3 linked regions of the Lonchura striata genome follow. The protein of the gene in region 1 purifies or fractionates together with the protein of each later gene. This does not show direct contact. Links are inferred from orthologs where the notes say so. Each region holds a gene or a part of one and is shown in the gene's direction. Other genes may lie near its edges.

The links. Proteins that work in one complex are often made in the same cells at the same time.
Region 2: the proteins of ZRANB1 (region 1) and STRIP1 purify together in Homo sapiens (affinity purification with mass spectrometry; 4 studies listed by BioGRID and IntAct, with this or other methods). This does not show direct contact. The link is inferred for Lonchura striata from reciprocal best matches to the Homo sapiens genes ZRANB1 and STRIP1.
Region 3: the proteins of ZRANB1 (region 1) and MAP4K4 purify together in Homo sapiens (affinity purification with mass spectrometry; 3 studies listed by BioGRID and IntAct, with this or other methods). This does not show direct contact. The link is inferred for Lonchura striata from reciprocal best matches to the Homo sapiens genes ZRANB1 and MAP4K4.

What each region holds. Positions count from the first base shown.
Region 1 is NC_134609.1:29,350,670-29,358,579, forward strand, and holds the start of ZRANB1 (ubiquitin thioesterase ZRANB1), read left to right. Parts: upstream 1-4,910; 5' UTR 4,911-5,005; intron 5,006-7,910. UniProt on the Homo sapiens protein: Ubiquitin thioesterase, which specifically hydrolyzes 'Lys-29'-linked and 'Lys-33'-linked diubiquitin. Also cleaves 'Lys-63'-linked chains, but with 40-fold less efficiency compared to 'Lys-29'-linked ones.
Region 2 is NC_134632.1:1,223,113-1,230,977, forward strand, and holds the start of STRIP1 (striatin-interacting protein 1), read left to right. Parts: upstream 1-4,849; coding exon 4,850-4,969; intron 4,970-6,740; exon of another isoform or gene 6,741-6,803; coding exon of another isoform or gene 6,804-6,857; exon of another isoform or gene 6,858-6,864; intron 6,865-6,937; coding exon 6,938-7,007; intron 7,008-7,267; coding exon 7,268-7,342; intron 7,343-7,698; coding exon 7,699-7,833; intron 7,834-7,865. Other genes in the region: AHCYL1 (S-adenosylhomocysteine hydrolase-like protein 1), read left to right, coding at 825-903, 1,297-1,417, 1,884-1,890. UniProt on the Homo sapiens protein: Plays a role in the regulation of cell morphology and cytoskeletal organization. Required in the cortical actin filament dynamics and cell shape. Part of the striatin-interacting phosphatase and kinase (STRIPAK) complexes.
Region 3 is NC_134604.1:87,603,747-87,611,369, forward strand, and holds the start of MAP4K4 (mitogen-activated protein kinase kinase kinase kinase 4), read left to right. Parts: upstream 1-4,607; 5' UTR 4,608-5,185; coding exon 5,186-5,242; intron 5,243-5,604; coding exon 5,605-5,670; intron 5,671-7,623.

The sequences.
Region 1 (7,910 bases):
TGTTTCTATTCCTCACCATTTATCTAAGTGCTGCTAGTCTTCCTTGCTCCTGAAAACAGAGGATGAAGTGATGGCAAGAGCAGGATCTGAGGAGCTGGTTGAGTAGGGAGCTCTGCATATCCAAAGTTCAGCTAGTGAGAAATAACCATCTGGTGAGCATGTACATCCCTGCTCCTGGATAAGCTGAGGATGAATCTCCTAATGGGAGCCAGCGCCCTGCCTGAGAGCGAGGAGTTACCAGGGTAAAGAGAATTACATAAGAGCAGGATCTGCACTTAGACATCACTAACTAGATGTAATCTTTGCACTCAAGCTGAGGTAATTCTGCTGCAGCACAAAAACACTCCATGCCAGCAGAAAATAATTAGGATTTTGGTTTTTTTTTTGTTTGTTTTTTTTTTTTTTTTTGCTTACCTGAAGCACAGTTTTGTGTCGCTGTGTCTCTCCAGCTACTACACGCAACAAATGTGCTCCTGTGGAATGTTTCAACGCTTGCTTGCTAATTATAGCTTTGGGTATCATTTGCTTGGGTATAAACAGGGTGAATCAGAACAGAAACGTCAGGGAGGGTTGAGGGAAAGGCCTTTTACTAACAGCAAGCATCAGGATTGTAAAAAATCAGGGCATCTTGTAAGGCAAAGCGCTCGAGTTTCATAGGAGACAGTGGCAAATTGCAAGTCAGGGTTGCACCAGAAAAATCCTAAATTTATAAATTCTTTGTAGGAAAGGAAGGGAACTTCCCAGCCATCTGCCTCGCTGGCTGCCTGCAAGGCTCACACCTCATAGGCACAAAGGGTTCCAGGCTGCTGGGGCAGCTCCAGGCTGGCAAGGATGGGCATCAGCGGGGCCCTGAGCTGGATAATCCTGCAAAATCACAGCATTTGTGCACGTTGCTTGGGTTTTACCAAATCTGTGAGCTCTGACAAGGAGATTTACTGTCAGTTCTTGTCCTGGAGGAACAGGAAGAAAAGAGATTGGAGTTAGGATGGCAAAGGAAGGTGGGGAGTTACAAGAACAGGGATTTATGGTGTTTGAAAAGTGGGGAAAAGAGAAAGCTGGAGCACGTATATGTGCAAATGATATTTTTATGTCATGGTTCTGCTGTGGGTTTATTGTGAGGCACAAGGGGCAGTTGTACAACTTCTGTGTGAAGGCACACGAGCTGCAAGGCCTGAGCACATCCAGCTCTGTGAAGGGAGGTTCCCAAAATAACAGCTTCAGCTGTCAAATGAGTATGACTGTTCCAAATTCCTTCCTAGGGAGTTAAAATTTCTCCTTAAACTGGTGAAAGAAAATGAAAATTTTGGGTGGATATAGGAAATTAGCACTTGCTTACAACTTCTGCTACCTCTGACAAAAATAGAATTATCTTTCTGACATTTAAAAAAAGAAAATATAATCAAATACCAAATCTATTGAGGACTGGACTATCAAGCCATGTAGATTTTGATTTGTCTCCAAATTAGAAGTTGTAAAGCTCTTCTTGGATAAATTATATGTGTAAATATCAATGTTCTAACCTGCTGAAAGGTCATTCCTCTTGTATTTTATTGTTTAAGTCTAGAACAAATAGCAAACTCCTGCAGGGTAAACCTGGAAGGAGACACCAGCAGATTTTTGAGCTAAAGCCAGAGACATGGCCTTAGCAATAAAGTCACCAACATCAAAACATCAGGTCATTGGGACATGCAGCCTAGAATTTGCTTTTGCTCTGGTAAATATTTTCAAATTCAATTTGCCCACATGTTATTCAAATACTATCCAGGGACCTTTTTCACTACTCTGAATGCTTCTGTTCTGCAGAGATTAAAATCTCTTAGAATCACAGAATTCTTTGGAATTATATTTTTTCAGTTGGTTATAACCCTTTTCCAACCCAAGCCCCTCTGTGAGTCTGTGGTTCTAAGATGTTCCTTGTATTTTCATATATTTTTATGCAGTCTAATATATAACAGTTATTTCTGGACATTGCCATTGTTGCACAGTTGAGGCAGCATTTAGAATTTACCCCAACATCTCTTCCATCATCTTGCCTAGATGCCAAGAGCAAGGGATACATTTTCATTTTCTGGATGATTTCTAAGCTGAGAGATGGTAAAATTCCTTATGACAAGGAATATTTATTTTACATGACTTATCCAAGTCTTATTAAAAAAAAAAAAATTGTCCCCCTTTTTTCTACAGCTATGTTTTGAGAAATGCACCAACTTGTTCAGTGGAGTCAGAAAGAGAATTTAGTAAATAATTAGTCTGGGAGAGAGAAATCACATTACCTTCCCCCTGCAACAGTTCTCAATGTTTATAGGGAACTAATTTAATTGCAAATGAAGACAAATTTCTATTTCAGTCTCCATAAGTAATTACATTTTACTTGTCCTGACTCCAGTCCTGGTTGTTTGCTTTCTGGACAAAGGGATTTTCTCTAGCACTGCTCTGCTGGAACATCTCAGGTGCTTTTCTTTATGGTCTGAGGGAGAAGGGGTGGATCCAGCTGGTCCAGGACGAGTTTCCCAATTCAACACCAAGCCCAAGGCATTGTCTACCAGAGTCTGGGAATGGGGAGTGAAACCATGGAAATAAGAAAGTGCTAAAACATCTGAGAAAGCCTGAAATAAAAAGTAGTAAATGCAGTGGGGGGAACAAAATATCATGTATCAAAAGATGTAAAACCCACGAAGGAAAAACAAGGATGTGGAAAATACACATTTTCTGTCAGTGAGCCTACAAGGGCAGCTTAAGGAAGATGCAGTCTCGCAATTTTTGTGTGGAAAGCAAAAAAAAATATTGCAAAGCCAGCACAAGGACTGAACCCAAGGGCTGGCAGAGCTGTTGTTGCTGGTCTTTTCTTCTCAGAAGATAAATGGGTTCTGCACTGTGGGGCTGCTGCTTGGATGAGTCTTTTTGGGCAGGGTGAACTCCATCCTGAACTGCAATCCCACACATTCCTGTCTTGGGTCAAAATGGCTGGAATTAACACGTGGAGGAAGTGTTTAAAATTTATTTCACAGAATCAATTTAGATTAAAAAAGACCTTTGAGACTGAGTCTGACTTATGACCCAACACCACCATATCAACCTGACCATGGCACCTGCTGGATTCTGGATTCCCATCAATTCCTTCAGTTGTTCCACAGCGAAATATTTCAATGAGTGCTGGTAAGAAACAAAGGACAGAGTCATAAGCTGCAGCCAGTGGAGGTTCAGGTTGGACATTAGGAGGAATTTCTTCACAGAAAGGGTGATCAGACATTGGAAGGGGTTGCCCAGGCAGGTTTGGAGTCCCTATCCCTGGAGGTGAACTAGGAAGGGCTGGATGTGGCACTGAGTGCTCCGGGCTGGGGACAAGGTGGGGATTGGGCACAGCTTGGATGGGCTGAGAGGGCTTTTCCAACCTCAGTGACTCTGGGATCAGCTGCCACAAACCAATGCTGCTGCCTGGCCACGTGCCATCCTAAGGAGGTTTTTTGAGGGATTACTCCCACAGGAACCTCCGATGTCCATCTGTGATGGACAAAAACCCTCTAACGTGTAAAGTTAGAAAGCGTGTGTTTATTGTGTGCAGGATCGCTCCCAAATCCACACCGCAGCTTCCAGGTGATTACAGAGCCTTTTTATCCATACAAGTATTGAATACCCAAAATGCAAATACATATTTATCATTTTGGTACATCCCTTTCCTCGCTTCCTATGCTAATAATTTCAAAAGCTATTAAGCATGCGTGGTTTGTTCCTTGAAATGGGTCGGTGTCCCTTTCATGGGGGGGGGTCCCAAAATGAGGAAGTCAATGAAGTCTTTCTTGTTCTGACCTTTCTACCTTTTCAATGCAAACATGACAAATTAACTCTTGGTAGAACTCCCATTCCTTGTCTTCAGAACAGAGGAGGCCCACAATTGTCTTGCATTCCTAAAACCTATTTGTCAGTTCCTATACTCCTCACTATAAACCCAGCTAACTGAACATCGTGCTGACAAGCCACCAATTATTAGCTAACTCCTAACTCTTCACTTCATCGAGGCCTACTCATTTAATTAACTCTAGTGAGGCTTATCTCTAACTAAAAATATAAGCTCCTCTAAAAATCTCTTAAATTCCTTAAAATTTCACGTTTCAGACGTGCGGGGCAGGGGTGTGGGCACGGGAATGGGCAGGGGAGGAGCGGGCAGGGCCGGGCAGGGCTGGAATCGCCCCAAGCGTGCCGAGGGACCCGGCAGGGAGCGGGGAGGGCCGGGAAGGGCCGGAGCCGCCCCTGGGCTCCCTCGGGACCCGGCAGGGAGCGGGAAGGGCCGGGCCGGGCCGGGCCGGGAAGCAGCGGGCAGGGCCGGGCAGGGCCGGTCGGTGGCGGAGCCGCCCCTGGGCTCCCTCGGGCCCCGGCAGGGAGCGGGAAGGGCCGGGCCGGGCCGGGAAGCAGCGGGCAGAGCCGGGCAGGGCCGGTCGGTGGCGGAGCCGCCCCTGGGCTCCCTCGGGACCCGGCAGGGAGCGGGAAGGGCCGGGCCGGGCCGGGCAGGGCCGGGCAGGGCCGGTCGGTGGCGGAGCCGCCCCTGGGCTCCCTCGGGACCCGCCCTGAGGGGCCGTCCCGGGAGGCGCCCCCTGGCGGCCGCCCTGCGCGCGGCACCCCGCGGCAGCGATGACATCACCGCCCTGCGCAAAGAGCCGCCCGCCGGTTGGCGGAAGGCAGGAGCGGGCCCGGCCAATGGGCGGCGCGCAGGGCCGGCAGGCCGCGCTGACGTGCAGCTGGGCCGTGCGGGGGTTTATTTTGCTTTGGGCCGCTCCGGCCGCCGCCATTAGAGGAGTGCGGGCACAGCCTTCCCCCCCTCCCCCCCCCCGCCGCGCCGAGTGGGAGCGCCCGCGGCCGCGGCAGCCGCGGCGCCTCGGGAGAGACCATGTCGTGAGCGGGGGGCGGGGGGGGGGAACGCGGGAGGGGGGGGGGGCGGCGCGGGGCGCAGGCGGCTCCCAGTGCTCAGAGCGTGTTCCTGAGGGACTGAGGGACGGATCCCGGCGGAGAGGTAAAGCCCTGTGCTCTCGCTGCCCTCCTCGGGCAGCGCTGCGGGGCGCGGGGGGAACGGGGGCGAGCAGAGCCGGGGCCGGCCGGGACCCGCGGTGATCGGCGCCTCCAGCGCGGCCCCGATCCCGCTGTGTCCGTGTCCCGCGTGGAAGGGTTTGCTGGGGGAAGGCAGGCTGGCACAGCCTCGCTGCGAAGGCGGGGACTCGGGTTTTCCCTCCCGGACCCCGGGCTGTGGTGCCTCGGTGTGCCCGGTGGGATCGTGCCTGCGCTGCCTCCCTCCCGCTCTGGTTTTGTTCGTGGTCGCGTGTGCCGCTGTGGATCCGCACGCGGTGCTGGAGTAGGTGATGGCACTGATGGTTTGTGTCTGTGGGTTTTGGGTAGCAGAACTAACATGGTATTGCCTATCCCATCCTTGGAAGTGTCCACGGCCAACTTGGACGGGGCTTGGAGCAGCCTGGGATAGTGGAAAGTGTCCCTGCCCATGGCAGGGGGTTGGAACAAGATGATCTTTAAGGTCCCTTCCAGCCCAAGCCGCTCCGTGATTCATTCTGTGATTCTGTGATCACCTATTGTGGATGCTTTTTAAAGTACAGTGTGGGAAGTATTTCAAAATCGGGCTCGTCTTTGGGAACCGAAGTCCAAACAAAAATCAGGAAAGTTGGATTAAGGAGCGAGGCAGACCTTGGTTAATCCACGCTGCCAGCGCCTCCCTGTCTGCTTCCACAGTCCCAGACTGCAGCAGCTTCCTGGCAGGATAAGATAAACTTGTCTGCGGAGGTCATGGATGTGTCTGCGAGTCCTTTGGATGTGTCTGTGAGTCCTTCCTTGGGAGTGACAGGATCAGCCTGTCCCCACATCAGTCACGGCTCCCTTGGGAGCAGCGGGTGGGAGAAGTGATGGAGGAGATGGATCCGGGTGTCCTGCACGGCTGGCACAGCCCGCCTGCTGAGAACTTTCTGCTGCCACGGTGGCTTTCAGCGATGGCGATAATGACAACTTTTTCTGGAATTCTTGGGGGTTGGTGTGGTAAACAAACGTTGTTTGACGGGCTTTGTGCTGTGCTTGAACAGTCTCTGCTCACCAGCTGCCTGCCGTGTCACAAGTGGTGGAGCTGCCATGTGAATTTAATGCTTTGATGTGTTTGTTGGGGCAAAAATTGAAAGGTGGGATGTCTTCTGTGTAGTTACTCCCTCTTTCTCAGAGGTCACTGTTGTGAGCAGAACCTTTTAAGAGTAGTTCAGGAGAGATCTGCTGTAATCAGGTTTGTTTTTCCATCTGCTTATCTGTCTCACAGAATATATTTGTGAGGCTTATTTATTTCCCCCCCCCCCCTTTTTAAGTAATTACTCAAACAGGGGGAGACAGGTGAGCAGCAGGAGGTGTTCTGGAACTCTTCTGCTGCCCTTCTTCTGAGGCCAAGCTGAGTTGGTGTTTCAGCATGTGGAGGCTGGCATCATGTCATACATCAAAGATCACCTCTGGTTTAAGCCCCTCACAGCATTCAAAGAGAATAAAGCCTTTGGATGCTTTGCATTTCGTGGGATTTATGAAACTAATTGTGTGGTGTAGTTCTCTTGAAGGAGAAAGAAATTGCTGCTTTACTTTCCTTGTGCTGCTTAAGCAAGGGCGAGTAGGTGGGGGTGACACCAGCGGGGCCGTGAGCTGTTCGTGTGGAGCTGTGTCTATTAGCATTCTCTCAGAAGTATAATTACAAATATTAATGTAATTGGAATGCTGAGTGGCACAAAAACGTCAACGGGGTTCATCACAGAAGCGTGACTTTAATTGGAGACTAATTCCAGCTCAGAATGGGTCAAGGGGACATTTTTAGCTTGTGTGTGGCCGTTCTTATTGTATGTTGTTTGACCTGTAAATTCCTCGGGGACAGGAATTCCCACTCATCTTTGGTGCCCTTTGCAAGAAGGATCTGTAAATAAATCAGAATTGTAAGTAGGAAATACTTCACTGATTGAATGGGAGGTTATTTTTAATACAGTCAATCAAATAATCAAATGTTCTCTCAGGCACTTTAAAGTGAGATTTACTGGCTCCTTCATGTGGTATTAACTTGGGTGATAATGTTTCTCTTTCCAGCTTCTCTTTGTCATATCGGTTCTAGCACAACTTCAGATCAATACATTCCTTGTCGTGATGTGCTCTCTGCTAATCACAGCAAAGCAGCATTTAAACTGCTACTGCCAGTTCTCTTAATAATCTCATGCCCTTTCCTCCCCCCAAATTTGAAGACTGGGTTATTTTGGGCTGTTCAAAATTGATGTCAACAAGTAATCCTCAGTTTAACTAGATGAATTATGATCCACAGTCTCCTGGTACTAAAATGGAACTAAACTTCAGTTTGGCAGCTGAAAATGGCTGGCTTAGCTGTAACAGAGTTCTTAATTTTTCTTTTTTTTTTTTTTTTAATAGTACTGTGTATGAGGAGGGAAACAAGGCAAAGTTGAAAATAGAATTTTTTTCCAACACAGCTGCTGAAGAGTTTGCCATTTCCCTTGTCAGATGGCGTAGCTTGGTAAAATCAGTTTAGTAACATAGATAATTGTAACTTTGTCATGTCAGTTGAATGGAATTTATTACACCTTAAAACGTTGTCTTCAAATTAAGATTTCAAACATTTGGGATCCAGACACTTTGCTGGTACTTTTCATAGCTTTTCTTGTGTAGCTGTCATTGCTTGAGCTTGCACAGGATTGTGACTGTGCTCATTTTTACATCATCAGTGGCTGGAGTGCAGCTGCTCTATGTAGCTAATTCTTTCGGAGCTTTCTTGATGTGCAAGATTAATAATTACCTCTTAGGGGTCTACCACTTAACATGCTTAAAAAGAAGAACTGTCACACGTCAACAAGAATTCTGAGAGTGTGTTAATCTATAATAATATTTATGAT
Region 2 (7,865 bases), on another chromosome or scaffold:
GCTGGAAGGCAGTTTTAAGCTTCCCCCAGACAGGTTTGAGCCCTCCTAGGACAGGTTTGAGACCCCCTAGCATGGGTTTAACATTCCCCAGCACAGGTTTAAGCCCCTCTAGCAGCGATTTAAGCTCCCCCAGCATGTGTTTAAGCTCACCTAGCACAGGTTTGAGCTTACCTCAAAGCAAGGCTTTGTTTGGGCTGGGAACATGAAGGGGGCTGGTGGCACTGGGAACATGGGACTGGGAGCACTGAGGGGATTGATGGGGCTGGGAACATGGAGGGTCTGGTGGCACTGGCACTCGTGGGGAAGGACAGCCAGGCTGACAGTGGGGAGTTCCCTTATCCTCACTCCTGTCAGCCCAAGGGGACAGGGAACAGGCCTGTGTTTTGGACTTGGTTCCCAACAGTGGAAGCCAGCTCTCAGGGGATGCAGTTTCATGTGTCCTGAAGGAATCTGTCTTGGTTTTTGAATGCTGCCAGTTTCTGAGGAGCAGCCCCTCCATTTCCATGTGCCACAGCAGCTGGGTGATTTAAGAGGAGAAGAGCTGCTAACCCTAAGCCATCCTCATGTTTTTCCCCGAGGTGTTGAGCCCAGATGCTGCAAACAGGCTGGGTGGCATCTCATCCCTGCCCTCTGATCCCTCCAGTGGGATTGTGGAGCTCCAGACAGGGAGGTACCCAGGGTGGGAGCCTTTTCCCTCAAGGCATGTTGGAAATGATTGCACTGTCCCTCCAGCTCCCAGATCCTTCTCTGCCTTTGTGAGCTTTGTGTTGCCCAAGCTGTGGACATTCCTGACTGTTCCCAGCTTATCCCTGTGCTCTCCACAGGCTCTGGCTCTGATTGAGCTCTACAACGCTCCCGAGGGCCGGTACAAGCAGGACGTTTACCTGCTGCCAAAGAAGATGGGTGAGTGAAGGAACTGACTTTTCCCTGGGGAATCCGTGTGCCAGCAGTGTCAGAAGAACTCAAACCTGGGCTGGGAAACACTTCCAGAGGGACAGTGAGTTCAGGGAGGCAACCAGAGGCAGTGACCTTAAAATACGTGAGGGTTATTTGATTTATCTTTGTTAGTGTTCTGCAGCGTGGGAGGCATCCCACATCCTGCAGCCTTCCTCTCTGGGATTTTCCATGCCCTCCTTGTGCCTTTAGGGGCACGTCCAGCCCAGGCTTGGGCTCAGCCCTGCTTTGGGTGATGGTGAATTTGGGGTGCTGCCCAGCCAGACCTTCCAGTCATCACCTGCCCATGTTGTGGTGGGGGTGTGGACCCCCTGATCCCGTTTTCCCTGTTCCCATTCCCAGATGAGTACGTGGCCAGTTTGCACCTGCCATCGTTCGACGCCCACCTGACGGAGCTGACGGACGATCAGGCCAAATACCTGGGACTCAACAAAAATGGGCCTTTCAAACCCAACTACTACAGGTGAGAACTGCTGGGGCAGGAGCTCCCAGCTCCCCGCTGGTTTGGAGCTCTGCCTCCAGCTCCAGGGTCTCCAACACCACAAGGATGTGGAGCTGCTGGAGCGTGTCCAAAGGAGGCCACGGAGATGCTTTGAGGGCTGGAGCCCCTCTGGGAGAGCTGGAAGGCTCCCAAAAGAGCTTGGAGTCCTTCCAGTGCCTGAAGAGGGCAGGGTTAGATGGGATATTGGGAAGGATTCGTGGCTGTGAGGGTGGGAGGGCCCTGGGTGCACAGAGCAGCTGTGGCTGCCCCATCCCTGGAAGGCGAGGCTGGACAGGGCTTGGAGCAACCTGGGATAGTGGAAGGTGTCCCTGCCTGTGGAATCAGATGAGCTTTAAAGTCCCTGCCAGTCTGGAATCTCTGGGGGATCCCCTTGCCCTGGCACAGCAGCACCTCCCATGTCCCTCACTGTCCCTTCCTTCTCTCCTAGATACTGACGGGACCATTTCCATGAAGGACCAGACCACACAAGGCAACATTTGAGAGATTATTTTGAAAAATCATTTTCATTTTGGTTTACCCTTTTTTTTTTTTTTTTTTCTTCACCACCACCAGAACCTGTTTTTACATTTTATCTGTGACTTTAAGGTCAGGTTTTCTTTTCTCCCCCTTTTCCATGATCACATCCCTGTCTGATCTTGCCAGATCAACCTGGGATTTGCTTCTTGCTTTCATGTGGCTGAAGCTGCTGATTCCCAGCCCTGGCTCCAGGAGGGGCTTTCCCTTTCCTGCTGGGCCGAGGGCACTTCATTCCTGCAGCAATTGTTTATTTTGGCTTTTATTTTGTACTTTTTCCCACCTTTCCAGCCCACATCGGTCTCAGCCGGGCTCCCTGTGGATCCGGAGATGCTCTTCTACCTTATCTTCTATTTCTTTGTGTGGATTATCTGCAACTTCTAAATTGCCTTAAAGAGCCCAGTTTTAGCTGCTAGATCCCTGCTCCGGGTGCTTCCTGGGAGCAGAGTGGCCTGCAGGACACCTGGCAAAGGGGGTGACTGTGCCCAAGCCCAGCCCAGGTCCCTGCGCTGAGGTGGCCCAGGTTTGGTGGCCACTGGCCTGGGTTTGCTGGCCACCTGGGTCCAGGGGAGTTCAGTGTTTCAGGGTGCTAATCTGAATCTGGATGGGGGTCGCTTTCCCAGCATTATCCTCATCTCTCCAAGGTTTTTTGTTTGTTTTTGTTTTTGTTTTTTTTTTTTTTTTTAGCCAAACTGCACCTTAATTGAGTTTTAAACATTTTTTCCGTTTGTTTATTTGTTTTTTTTCTCCCTCTTTTCCTTTTTGATCCTTACAGAGATGTTTCAGAGGGCGGGGATTGTTTTTAGATGTTGTAAGAGGAAGCACTGGGGACGCGGCCGCCTTCCCATCCCCCACTGGGAAGTGCCGGGTGTTGTTGAGGGTGTCTGGGGTGGGTTTTGGGGGTGTTTCACTATTTTATTTTTGAGCTGGATGCGGAGATGAGCCTTCCCCATATCCCAGCCCGGCCCCTCTGCTCCCTGTGACTGTTTTCCTCACCCTCTCCCCGTGTGTCCCAGCTGCTCCCATCACCTCCTCCGTGCCCTCCCTGCTGACATTTCCCTTTCCCAGCTTGTGCTGGGGTTTGGGAAGCTCCTTCCAACCCACTGAGGTTCCTCTGGCTCCTGTTCTTTCCGCACCCAATTGAGGAAAGGAGCTGCTGGCACCTCCTGGGTCGTGGAGCTGCTCCTTCCCCTGTTTGCAGGGATCCACCTGGACGGGTCCTTCCCAGGGAAATGGCAAGTTTTGGGGGGTGCAAAACTCCTTGTGGGGCCAGGGGATGGGAGAGGTGCTGAGATCATCCCCCTCCATGTCCTCTGACTGTTCCTCTCTCCCACCCTGCGTGGTCTCCTCCTGGATAGATTTTGGGGATCACCTGCCTCGCTCCCCCACAGATCCCAGGGATCACCTGGGTCCCTTCCACCATCCCCCAGACCTCCGTGGGGACGGCTTAGCAAGCTGGGATGGGCGTTTGTGGGAAGGATCGGGAGCATTCCCCCTTCCCCGTGAGCCCCCCGCGCCCGGGGGTCCCCGTTCCCACCCATCCCGGGTGGAATCTCGGCCAAGGGCTCTGTGTCTGTATAAGCCATGCTGGGGGAGCCTGGGGGTGATGGCGGCGGCAGCGGCGGGCCGGGAGCGAGAGGTTTATTTTGTATAGGAATGATTTTTAATGAATGCAATATTAATCCTTGCAGATGAGCAATAAATCATTAAAGTCTAATTAAACTATTAGGAAAAATGAAGTGCTTTTGGTTGTGTTCCTCAGGGGCGACCCGGAGTTTTTTCCAAGCCCAAGGGCAGGGCTGGAATCTCCCTTTGGCCATCTTGGGGCAGGCATTGGGTCCCACCAGAATTTTCTGAACGTTGGCACAACTCTGGATTTTGGGGTCTCACTCTTTTTAAAGCCCCAAGGGGCATCTTAGCTTGGGGTTTAAATCCTGTCAGGTTTAACCTCTGAGCCCCATTGGACCCCAGTTTGGGGTTGGAGCCCCCAGCCCCGTCACTGGAGCATTCCTTTGTTCCAGACCCTTCCACTGGAGCATTCCTTTTTTCTAGGCCCTCCAACTGGAGCATTCCTTTTTTCCAGGCCTTCCAATTGGAGCATTCCTTTGCTCCAAACCCTCCAACTGGAGCATTCCTTTGTTCCAGGCCCTTCCACTGGGGCATTCCTTTGTTCCAGGCCCTTCCACTGGGGCATTCCTTTGTTCCAGGCCCTTCCACTGGAGCATTCCTTTATTCCTGGCCCTTCTACTGGAGCATTCCTTTGCTCCAAACCCTCCAACTGGAGCATTCCTTTGTTCCAGGCCTTCCAACTGGGGCATTCCTTTGTTCCAGGCCCTTCCACTGGAGCATTCCTTTATTCCTGGCCCTTCTACTGGGGCATTCCTTTATTCCTGGCCCTTCTACTGGAGCATTCCTTTGTTCCAGGCCCTTCCACTGGAGCATTCCCTTATTCCTGGCCCTTCCACTGGAGCATTCCTTTGTTCCAGGCCCTTCACTGGGGCTCTGCCCCTCCTGCCACTCCCAGCATGGCGCCCTTCAGCCCCCGGGCGCGCCCTGGGCGAGGCGGAAGTGCCACACCCAGCATGGCCGCGCCCGGGGCCGCGCCGCGCCCAAGATGGCGGCGCGGGGGCGGAGCCCTCCGCCCGGCCGTGTGCCGCGCCGTCCGTGGCCGCCGGGGGCGGGCAGCGCCGGCCGTGACGCGGCCGCCGCGGCGGAGCGGCGGGGCCGGCGGGCGGAGCTGCACCGCAGCCACCGGCGGCACCGGCGCTCCCGCAGCTGCCACTCCCAACATGGCGGCGGCGCTGCCCCGGCTCTCCCTGCCGCTCCCGCGAGAGGAGGGGGTGAGTCCTCGCGAGAGCTCGGCGCGGCGGAGCGGCCGCCATGGAGCCGAGCGGCGGCCCCGGGCCGGGCCCGGGCCCGGGGAACAACAAGGGCCGCGGCGGGGCGGCCGCGCCCGGGAGGGGCCGCGACTTGGCCCGGCCGCCGCGCAAGGACTCCGAGGTCAGCGCCGCCGCCGGGAGTGGGGCGGCCTTCCCGGGCGGGGCGGGCCGCGCCGGGCCTCGTCCGGGGCCTGCCCATGGGTGCCGGTGCCCGGGGGCGGTGCCGGTGCCCGGCGGTGCCGGTGCTCGTGGATCCCTGTGGGTGCCAGTGCCCGGGGGTGCCAGTGCCCGGCTCTTCCAGCCCTGCCCGGGACCGGCCCGGCCGCTGGCTCCGGTGCTCCAGTGCTGCTCGCAGGGCCGCCCCTCGGTACCGGCTCCCTGGCGCTGTGGCCCCGGGCTGTGGAGCCGAGAGGCCTCTCCCCGCCCGCAGCTGCCTGGTCTCGGTCGGTGCCGATTTCCCCTTCATCCATCCATCCATCCCTTCCCCAGCTCCGGGCCGCCAGGGTGGCTCGGTCGCCTCTCCCAAACGGGAGTGACAGGGCTGGCCCGGGGTCTCGCTGCCCACCCGGGGGTCTTCTCGGGGTTAGCGGTCGGCAGCAGCCCGGGGTGGGCTGTCGGGTCCCGCTGCCGTGCTCGGAGCAGCGATGGACCCAGCAAGAGGTGACCGACCCCCCCAGGGACACCCGGCGGTGCTGGGGTCACGCTGAGCCTCGGGCTCGCAGGGTTGTGTGGAGCTGAGGTATCCCGGGGCTTTACCAGAGCGTTTCATTCCTGGGATGGCCCTGGAGCCGTTCTCTCCCAAGGCTTCCTCAGAAAAGTCCCTGGAATGCCAGGGGAGGGGTGTGAGGGGGGATCTTGGAGAACCTGAGGTTGGGCTCCCAGCAGAGCAGAGCCAGCACAAGGGGCTTGGAGCTGCCCCTCTCTCAGAGCCTGGACTTCAGGGTTGTTCTGATGTGGGTCTGTCCCTCTGTCAGGAGTGGGAGCCCCCAAATTTAGGAGTTCTGCTTGTGGATTCATTCAAGGGTAGGTGCCCCAAAATTTGTGTGGGTTTGGTTCTGGGTGTGCCCCTTCTTCATGAATATGTGCCCCAAAATTTGTGTGGGTTTAGTTCTGGGTGTGCCCCTTCTTCATGAATATGTGCCCCAAAATTTGGGATTCTGCTGTGGTTTGGCTCCTCACTCAGGGGTGGGTGTGCCGAGAGGGTTCTGGTGTGGGTCTGCCCTGTGCTCAGGTGTGTGTGTGTGTCCCAGAATTCTGCTCAGGGTGTGCCCCTCACTCAGAAGTGGATACCCCAAAATTTGGGCGAGTTCTGGTGTGGATCTGCCCCTCACTCAGAAGTGGGAGTCCCATAACTCAGGAGAATTCTGCTCTGGGTTTGCCCTTCATTCAGGAATGAATGCCCCAAAATTTGGGTTGGTTCTTGTATGGGTTTGCCCCTCACTCTGGGGGGGAGGATTCTGTTCTGGATCCTCCCAGTGCTCAGGAGTGGGAGCCTCATAATTCAGGAGAGTTCTGGATTTGTCCCGTGCTCAGGATCCCGAAATTTGTGAGAGTCTTGCTGTGCACCTGCCCCACTCAGCACAGGGTGCCCTGAAAAGCTGTGGGTCGATGGTCTTGACTTCTGTAAAGGGAGCTGATATTTTGTGCTCTGAAGGTTCTCCTGGCTGTTTTTGCAGCCTCTCCAAAGCTGTTTGTAGTTGTTTCATCCTCACTAATCCCATCTGCTGGGACGGCACAGAGGGATAGCCCAAATTTTCCCAAATTTGTGCAAAATGGGTGAGCTCTGAGAGCTCCTTGCTCTCAGAGAATCCTCTCCCTGTGTCCTGCCGTGTTTGTGGTGCTCTGGGGGCTCCCCCCGTGCTTTGGGGGTGCTGCAGTGGCTCCATGCGGCACAGCCCGTGGAGACGCAGGAGGTGGGCTGGAGTTGCCTCGGTAACGTTTGTGCTGCTGCAGGAATGTTTTTGGTCCCTAAACCAGTAAGACCAGCCCTGGATTTGCAGGAGGATGAGGTGAATTGTGAGTGTTTACAGGGATTTTGGTTTTCCTGGAATATGCTGTAATGGAACTGATTTTTCCCCCGTGTTTTCAGGGCTATTCGGAGTCGCCAGACCTGGAGTTTGAATATGCAGACACGGATAAATGGACAGCAGAGCTGTCAGGTAAGGAATTCTTCTCTGATGGATCAATTAATCCACCATTATTTCCTCCACTGGTAGAATTAAAGGAACTCTGTCAATTCCAGTATCGCTTTAATATTATATTTAAATGCTGTATTGATGTTAAAAAGATATGTGTGGTTCATATTTTTGGCCTTGCACTAGGTGGGGTTTTATTGCATTTTGATATTTTGGCTAAAACTGCAGTTCCCAGCCGAGTTGCAGCTTGGTGCAGGTTTTTGGAGCTTGTCCTCTTTTGGCAGAGCTGTACAGCTACACAGAGGGGCCAGAGTTCCTGCTCAACCGAAAATGCTTCGAGGAGGACTTCAGGATCCACGGTAAGAGCCTTTTTCTGGATTCCTCTGCCCCTGGGGAGGGACAGGGACTTTCCTGGAGAAGAGCCTGGTGTCAGAGCTGACTGGGGTGTGCAGCTACTCCCGAGGGGCAGCTTCGCTCTCTGCTCCCTGTGACAGGGACAGGAGCCAGGGAAGGGTTGGGGCTGTGCCAGGGGAGGCTCAGGCTGGAGATCAGGAAAGGTTCTTCCCCCAGAGGTGCTGGCACTGCCCAGGCTCCCCAGGGAATGGGCACCGAGGCTGCCGGAGCTGCGGGGGCGTTGGCACGGCGCTCTCAGTGACCCGGTGAGATTTTGGGGTGGCCGGTGGGGCCGTGCCCAAAGCCCTGCTGTGGTTTGCAGTGCGGGACAAGAAGTGGCCGGAGCTGGAGCGGACGCAGCACCGCACGCACGCCATGCGCCTGCTGGACGGGCTGGAGGTGACCGCGCGCGAGCGGCGGCTGCGCGTGGCCCGCGCCATCCTCTACGTGGCACAAGGTGACAGCGGCACTGCCCCTGCTCCCCCGGGC
Region 3 (7,623 bases), on another chromosome or scaffold:
GCTGTGGAAAGGCTCTGACTCACTTTGCCACTCTTCCTGCACTAGCAGGATTGCTATATTTAGACATCCCCTGTATTTCAGGAGTCCTTTCAATCCAGTCCCCAAAATGCTAACAGAGGAAGCCAGCCAGGGTGTGGGCAGTGATGGCCTCAAAGAGTACAGCTGGTGGAAAGCTGCTCCTTTCTGGCCCTGTGCATCTTCATGTCACCTACATCATCATCTACATGTGCATCCCCAAGCTTGGGCCCGGCTATGTGCCTGAGCCTGATTCCTGCATGCTGGAATGAGGGAAACCCATCAGTGTGGGAGGCAGTGCAGCATCCTGAGGAGCGGGAAGCAGCAGGATGTCACCAGCAGCAGTGTGTGCGCAACTGGGCAATCAGAGCTGCAGGAACATGTCCACCCCATATGACATTGTAAAGATGCAGCATGAGAAAACCTGGGTGTGCCTGCAGAGATCACACAGAGCAGCTTTCACATGGAGGTGTGAGATAGGGGTGGTGGAAACAGCAGAGGAGGAGAGGAGCCTAAGCTAGAGGGAGGCTGATTGTATGGCATCCTTTTGTAACTGATCTACTCCCAGTATGTGTTGCAATAAATAGCATGAGGAAAAGTCTCCCAGCCTCCTTCTGCTCCATGTGCAGCAGGAGAGCTGGACTATGCAAAGCCTGACTCAGCCCCACTCACTACCCTGTCCTCTGTTACTTATCACCCTAGCTTGAGCCTCCCTCAGGGATTGTTTCAGCCAAGGAGAGAACAATTTCCCCAGAGTATGACAGGGTACATGTCTAATACTTCACACTATAAAGGAGGTCAAAATCACTCCCATTTTCCACATAGAGAACGAGAGTGGAAGCAGGAAATGAGATGCCCCAAGGCTATAGGATGAATCAGTAGTAGAACAAAATGAAAATTCAGAACTTCCTGTCTCTTTACTCATCTTCTTGAATACTGTTGATGATTAAGCTCATAAAAAGTTAGTGCAGTTGATGACCTCTGCATCTCTGGTCAGTGATTAGAGCCCTGGCATATTAGAAGTGGAAAATTATAGAACAAAGACAATTTCAAATAACTTGAAAAAAAATAGAGGGCAAGGAATTTCTTTTGTGGCTACAACATAAATGTTGAGTTCCCATCACTCCCACAGTGTCTCTTCCAGTAAGGAAGGAAGTTTCTCTAGTTTTACCCCTATGGGTCCACTGAGAGTTGAAATTGGCTTAAGCCACAGCCGCAACCAAGAGGCAATGCTGTGGTCACAGTTCCTGCCCTCCACTTAGTTTCTGACCCCTCGGTTTCCCTTTTGTTAACACATCAGCTCAAGGAGACACGTGATGAACCAGCCCAAGGAATTGATCAATAATAACATTAGAAGTTATTTTCCTTTTGTGGGTTAGCTTTGCTATGAGTCCTGGCTCACTATGTAGCTGTAGGAATGCTCATATCCACACAAGGGTACCATTCAATAGGAATAAATGGTCAGAGAAAGGGAAGCTCAGGACCCCTCTTTCAGGGATACTGAAACTGCTCAGGGAGCTTCAACTCCTCTGTTCCCTTCACTGCTATGAGCACTTTGAGCAGGAATGGGTGCAACTGTGTCTGAGGGTGATGGAAAGCAGCACACAGGTCCCAGCTTTCTCCTGCTTTGCTCCCCAGTGGACTCAGATATTTTGATAAATCTTCTGAAGTTTGTCATTAGAAAAACCATGTGTGCTCTGTGGGGAGACGATCCACAGGGTTGAAAATGCATTTCCTTGCATTTAGTCTTCGTTATGATTTTTGATGGCTGTCTCACTCTGTCTCACTTCAGCATTGCTGGTTTCACTATGAGGAAGAGTTAAAACAGATTGCTCTTCTTCTTTCCAGTGGTTTTAGGTTTGGTCTTTCAACCTTTGGACTTTCAAACTGGTTATGTACACTGAGCTGGTGAAGAGCATGATGAACATGTGAAGAGAGTGGTTTTGGCCACAGCTGAAGAGGCTTCTTCCTCAAAAAAGCAAGCTTTTCATCCCTTCACTTGAGTAGAAGAAAAAGGAAGCTGAGGCATCGTGGTGCTTCACTCTGGGAACTAGCAGGAAGCTCTCTTCATAAAGCATTTACTGCTTTATGAAAACTATTTTTTCCCCTAAAGATAGAGGATGGCTTACTTTTCAAGAATTCACAATCTTGTTGCTAGCACTTTAGCAGTCTTTAGTGTAATACAAAAACATGCCAAAGAACTGAACTCACTCTAATAAAATAAAAACTTAAAGCAGAGAGGGAACACTGTGGTGGAGCCACATCAGAGGTCTGGTGAAATGACATCTGTTGGTGAAAATATGAATGGTGAAAATGTGTATATGGGCTCAGATCCTCATCTCTAAAATCCTGGCCTGTACTTTTCAGAGGCACAAGGAAGTTGTTACGTCCTGGGTTTGGAAAACTCAGAATTCAGAATTTGGGCCTGAAAATCTTTCAGCATTCAGAAATGCACAACAACAGTCTCTGAGGTGGTATTAACATTACAGAAGGGGATCCTGGAGTTATAATAGGCATGTGCCACAGGAATGTCATATTCATACCCAACAGTGAAGAAGGGAAGGATCAGGAGCGGATTAGAAACGAGGACATCACAATGATGCTGCACGGGGAAGCCAGCATGAACATGAGATGGAAATCTGTTTACCCATGTCAAAAAGGAAGGTATTAGAAATGGTTCAATGAAGGACAAATATAGAATGAGTTCCATTTGTGGTATCACTAAAAAGACCAGAACTTACTAGCTGGCAAAAACCAAGGGGAAAACACACCAGAAGTCTAAAAAATGAACATAATAAAGAAAATGAATAGGAAACGATTGGTGTCTCTTCCAAAACAAGAACCAGCAGGATATTTTTTTTTTAGTTTAGCAAAAGGTGCTCTCCACACAACATGTTAGCTCACCTTTGGAACTCCCTGCCAAAGGACACTGCGAGAGCCACAAGCATGTATGAATCCAGAAAGTAAACAGCCAATCTAATGGAAGGAAAACACAATTAAAAAAAACAAAATGCAGGGACACCAAATGCTGCTAAAGAGCTCCTTGAGCTGTAGAGAGTTGGTAAAATAAGCCAGGGAAGTATTACTGGATGGTTAAAGTATCCCTGTGATCTTCTCTCAGTGTCTACTACTGGCTAAATCTGGAGATGGATGCTGGGACAGACAGGAAATGGATCTGACCTACCAAGGTTTCCCTTACACATAAAAAGGCTGAGTTACCATGTAATGCAAACCAGACCAATGATAATAAATCTTTGTAGAAATACACTTTTCAAAACCTACTGCATCTCTAGACTTGATCTTACTCCTGTGCATGCACTTGGGCAGACACAGCATCAAATACATTTGAAATTACTTGCCTTTTCCTAACTATAGGTTCCTGTACAGAGAATGAAGTTTCCTGGTCTAGGCTGAAGTTTCCTTTCTTTGTATCTACACTTAAAGTGAAAATGAAGTATGCCATTAAACTGTTATGGTAATTTATCCTTAAACTTTCTGCTCAACAGGTTTGCTTTGTTTCAAAAGTATGTTTCTGTAATACTTATAGCTATGTATATGTAATTTTGTGGTTAAATTAGAAGACAGGAAAACCCCGATTCCCACAGGAAACTCGACCTCTTGCAAGCAGGTAACACTTTTGCCATATCAGTGTGATAAAAAACTTCAATGAGAAACAAATCCTGCCAAGGTTTACACTTGTGTCAAACTGCCTGATGTGTCTTGCTCAAGTGAGGTTAATGAGATTTTTCCACGATTCAAATTCTGCTAGAGGATTCTTCTGGGCGGGAAGGGGGCCTGAGACAGCTCTGTCAGTAAACGATGTGTTAAAATATGAGAGATGGGTCTGGTTCTGTGGGCCAGGATTTGGCCGTCTTTCTGTAGAAATCTCTTCATGAGACATAATGTTTTTTTTCCTGTGGGCCTGGGATCTCGAGGCAGGGGGGAACTGTGACATTTTGCTGGTCATCTCACCGGGGATGGGAAAATATCCCCACCACACGGTGCATACGAGCCGTGACAGGCCCCCACGGAGCGCGCTGTCCCGCAGAGGCGCGGCGGGGGCTGCAGGGCTCCGTCCTTGCCCCGGGCCCGGGCACGCGTGGGGCTCCCGCGGGCGGGGCCCAGCGCCGGTGCGGCGGGGAAGGGCCGCCCGGGGTCGCCCCCGCCCCGCGGGGCTATTGTGGGCGGCGGGGCGGGCAGGCTGCGCGGCCGGTTCCCTCCCCGCCCGCTGGCTCCCTCCCTCTCTCTTTCTCTCTCCCCGCGAGTTTACCCAGCAGTGCTCTGGTGCGGGCGCGTTTCCGCCGGTTTTTCCTGTTGGAGAAGGGAAGGGGGAGCTGTTCTCTTCTCTCTCTCTCTCTCCGCTCGCAGTATATTTTTTCTCCTCCTCCTTCTCCTCCTCCTCCTCCTCCTCCCCGGCTATCTTTGTCTGGCTCGCAGCACCCCGCTCCAGCCCCGCGCCCCTGCCCCGCCGCCGCCGGGACGCGCAGCCGCTGCCCGCCGGTGCCCGGCGCCGTTTGATGCGAGGGCAGCGCCGCGGGGAGGGCTCGGAGGCGGCGGGGGCTCCGCCGCGGCGCTGGGCGTGAGCCGCCCCCCCATGCGAGAGCGGGGCCGCGGCTGCCACTGCCGGCTCCCGGCGTGAGCGCCGCCGGCCGGGCCGAGCCGTGCCGTGCCATGCCAGGGAGCGGGGCGCATCGTGAGGCTGCCAGAGGCTGCCGGCACCGGCGCCGCTCCTGCCGCCGCCGCCGCGACATGGTGTGAGCCCGCTGCCGCCGGGGACGCGCGGGCACCCACCGACTCACCCGCCCAGCCACCGACCGGCCGGCCGGGATCCTCGGGGGGATCCAGCCCCGCACTGCAGCGCGGGGAGACGGACGGACGGACAAACCGCAGCACCCCTTCTCCTTCTTCCTTCCCTTCCTTCACCTCCCTTTCCCTCCTCCTCCCACCATCCATCTATCTATCCATCATCCCCCCCCCCGCCAACCCCTCCCAATGCTGAAGAGTTTCAACCCAGCGGGGCTGGAGTGAAGAAGGGCGGAAGGGAGGAGAGGAGCGGAGCTCCGCGCAATTCACAGCTCCTCCAGGGAGGGGGGAGCGGCCTCGCTATTATTTAACAGAGAAGAAAAAAATATTTAAAGAAAAAAAAAAAAAAAAAAGAAGAGACGGGAAAATGGCGAACGATTCTCCTGCAAAAAGTCTGGTGGATATCGACCTTTCCTCCCTGCGGGTGAGTGCCGGTGCCGGGGGCCGGGGCGGGGGCCCCCCGGGGTCGGCGCGCCCCTTGCCGGGGCTGCGCGGCCGGTGGGGTGGGAGCGGCCGGGCCCGGGGCCGGTGCCGGGCGCGGGGGCCGCGGCCGCATGGGGGGAGCCCTCCCGCGGGGGCGGGCGGGGGACCGCGGCCCTGGGCTGCTTTTCCTTTGTTTGCATGTATTGGCATGTGCGTGGAAAAACAGGGCGCAACAGCTGCACGCCGCCAGCAGCCGGGTTCGCTGGCTGGGCTCTGCCAGCAGCCATCGCCTGAACAAAAATGTAACCCCACTTCTCTTCTCCCCTTTCCTCCCCCGCCCCTTCTGCCCCTTCCTCCCCCTAGGACCCCGCTGGGATTTTTGAACTGGTGGAAGTGGTTGGCAATGGCACGTACGGGCAAGTCTACAAGGTTTGTGTCAGAATTTCTTCTCCTTTTATTGTTGCCGATCTTCCAGAGGGTACCCGGTGTCTGCGCCGGGCTGAGCACACGGCTGAAGGCGAGCCACCCGCACTGGCAACCGGAACAGTGAGGGGTGGTAGAAGTGTTGCCCTTGTCATTGTTGCTGGCCTTGTCAAGTTTGTCAGCCTCTTGGCTTCTGCTTTTTTAGACGGGTACAAATTACTCTCCCAAGTACCCATCCTGTAATGATGAAATACGCCTTTATTGTCCTTATTCTTCTCTGTGCTCCTTTCAGAGAAATGACCAAACCAAGTGGACGCTGTCAGAGTCTGGCTCGGTTATACAAACACGTCCACAGGCTTATTCAGCTTTGCTGCTGGAAATCCTTATAGAAGTTGCTGCTGCTGCAGTGACTTTAGACAAAGACATTTGCCATAATTAAAACTGTCACCCGGTTTCCTTGTGAGTGTTGAAGCTCTGGAGTTGGGGGTGTGTGCATCTGATGGGCTGTGCAGAGATGAGGGGTGCAGAGTGACAATAATAAGTGACCAAAGCAGAGAAGTTTATTTTGTGGAAATCAGAATTCCCAGAATAACCTGTTTGACAAGTGTATGACTTTAAAAAATAGAAATCAGAGAGTGCCCATGTGGGTGTGAAACTAGCCTACTTTTTTCTTTTTTTCTTTTTTTACCCTTTAGTGTGCAGTCAGTGGAACAAACAAATCTTGAGCTTGCATGATTTTGCAGTGAGTGCTAGCTACCAGGAGGACTAATTATTTGCACAGACTTAATACTTGGCTAAAGATTGAAGGCTCTAGCCTTAAACTGTAGAAATGCAAGATGCATTTGGAGAGAGAAGGAGAGATGAAGATGCTTAGTTGCTTGTTTGTTTTTTGGTTGTTTTTTTGTTGTTGTTGTTGTTTTTCTTTTTGCTTATAAACAAGGGACTGTAATTGGTCCGCGTTTCCCTGATGGCAAGATACTGCTGCTTGCAGCTCCGGTAACTAATGCTCCAGTAAATAAAGTGCTTTGCTGCCTCTTCTGCAAATGAAACACATGTCAGTTTGTTTTGAGGGCGTGAACCTCAGCCTTCCTGATGGAGAATTGGTCTGCCTGTGCAGTGTATTAGTTGCTTTTTAAGACTTGAGCTGGAATAGCCAGACTGCTGCTGTTGGTACAAAGGTGGGAAAAAGAATGTGGCTCAAAGGGCCACAGGAGACGGGGAAGATAAGTAAAAGCTTTGACACAACCTCGACTATTTAATTTTTTTATGCCATTTGAAAGGACACAACTTTTTTCTGTAATCCTTTGCTCCCAGAGCTTGCATCATCTGAACCCTTATTAAAAAAAAAGAAAAATAATGGGGTGTGAATGTGTGAGTTGAAACTCTCCTGTTAATTATTGCAATTTAGTGTATTGTTTCTCAGTGTACTTGTTAATGCTTTTGAATAATGAGCAAAGTTCTCCTTAGTTTAACAGTCTTGACAATAGAAATGTTAAACTTAGTTTTCTTTAGGTAAGGTAGAGCTCTTCCAGAATAGTTAGTATTAGAAATGAAACTGGGCACATGCATTTATTGTCTTGGAAGAGTTGAACACCTGATGTCATCAGTGTCACTGTGATAATGGGGAGCAACAGGCAACCTTTTTTCTTGCTATAGAACCTGCTGGACAGTAATGGATTGACAGGTGTTTAAGTTTGGGTTGGCACTGCTTCTTCTTAGGTATTTGTCTACATTTGTGTACATACACTGATAATGTGGACACCTAACAGGGCTGTATGTAAACAAATAATACCAAACAAAAAAACTTTCTTTCTGTGATAAGCATTTTTTTTTTTTAAGTAATGAAATTATGTAAAAAAAAAATTAAAAATCAGTTGTTGCAAAAGTTGTTGCAAAAAACAAAACAAAACAAAAATCCCAAACCTTTTCTTGGGCACTTTTTTTGCTAGGAAAAATGCT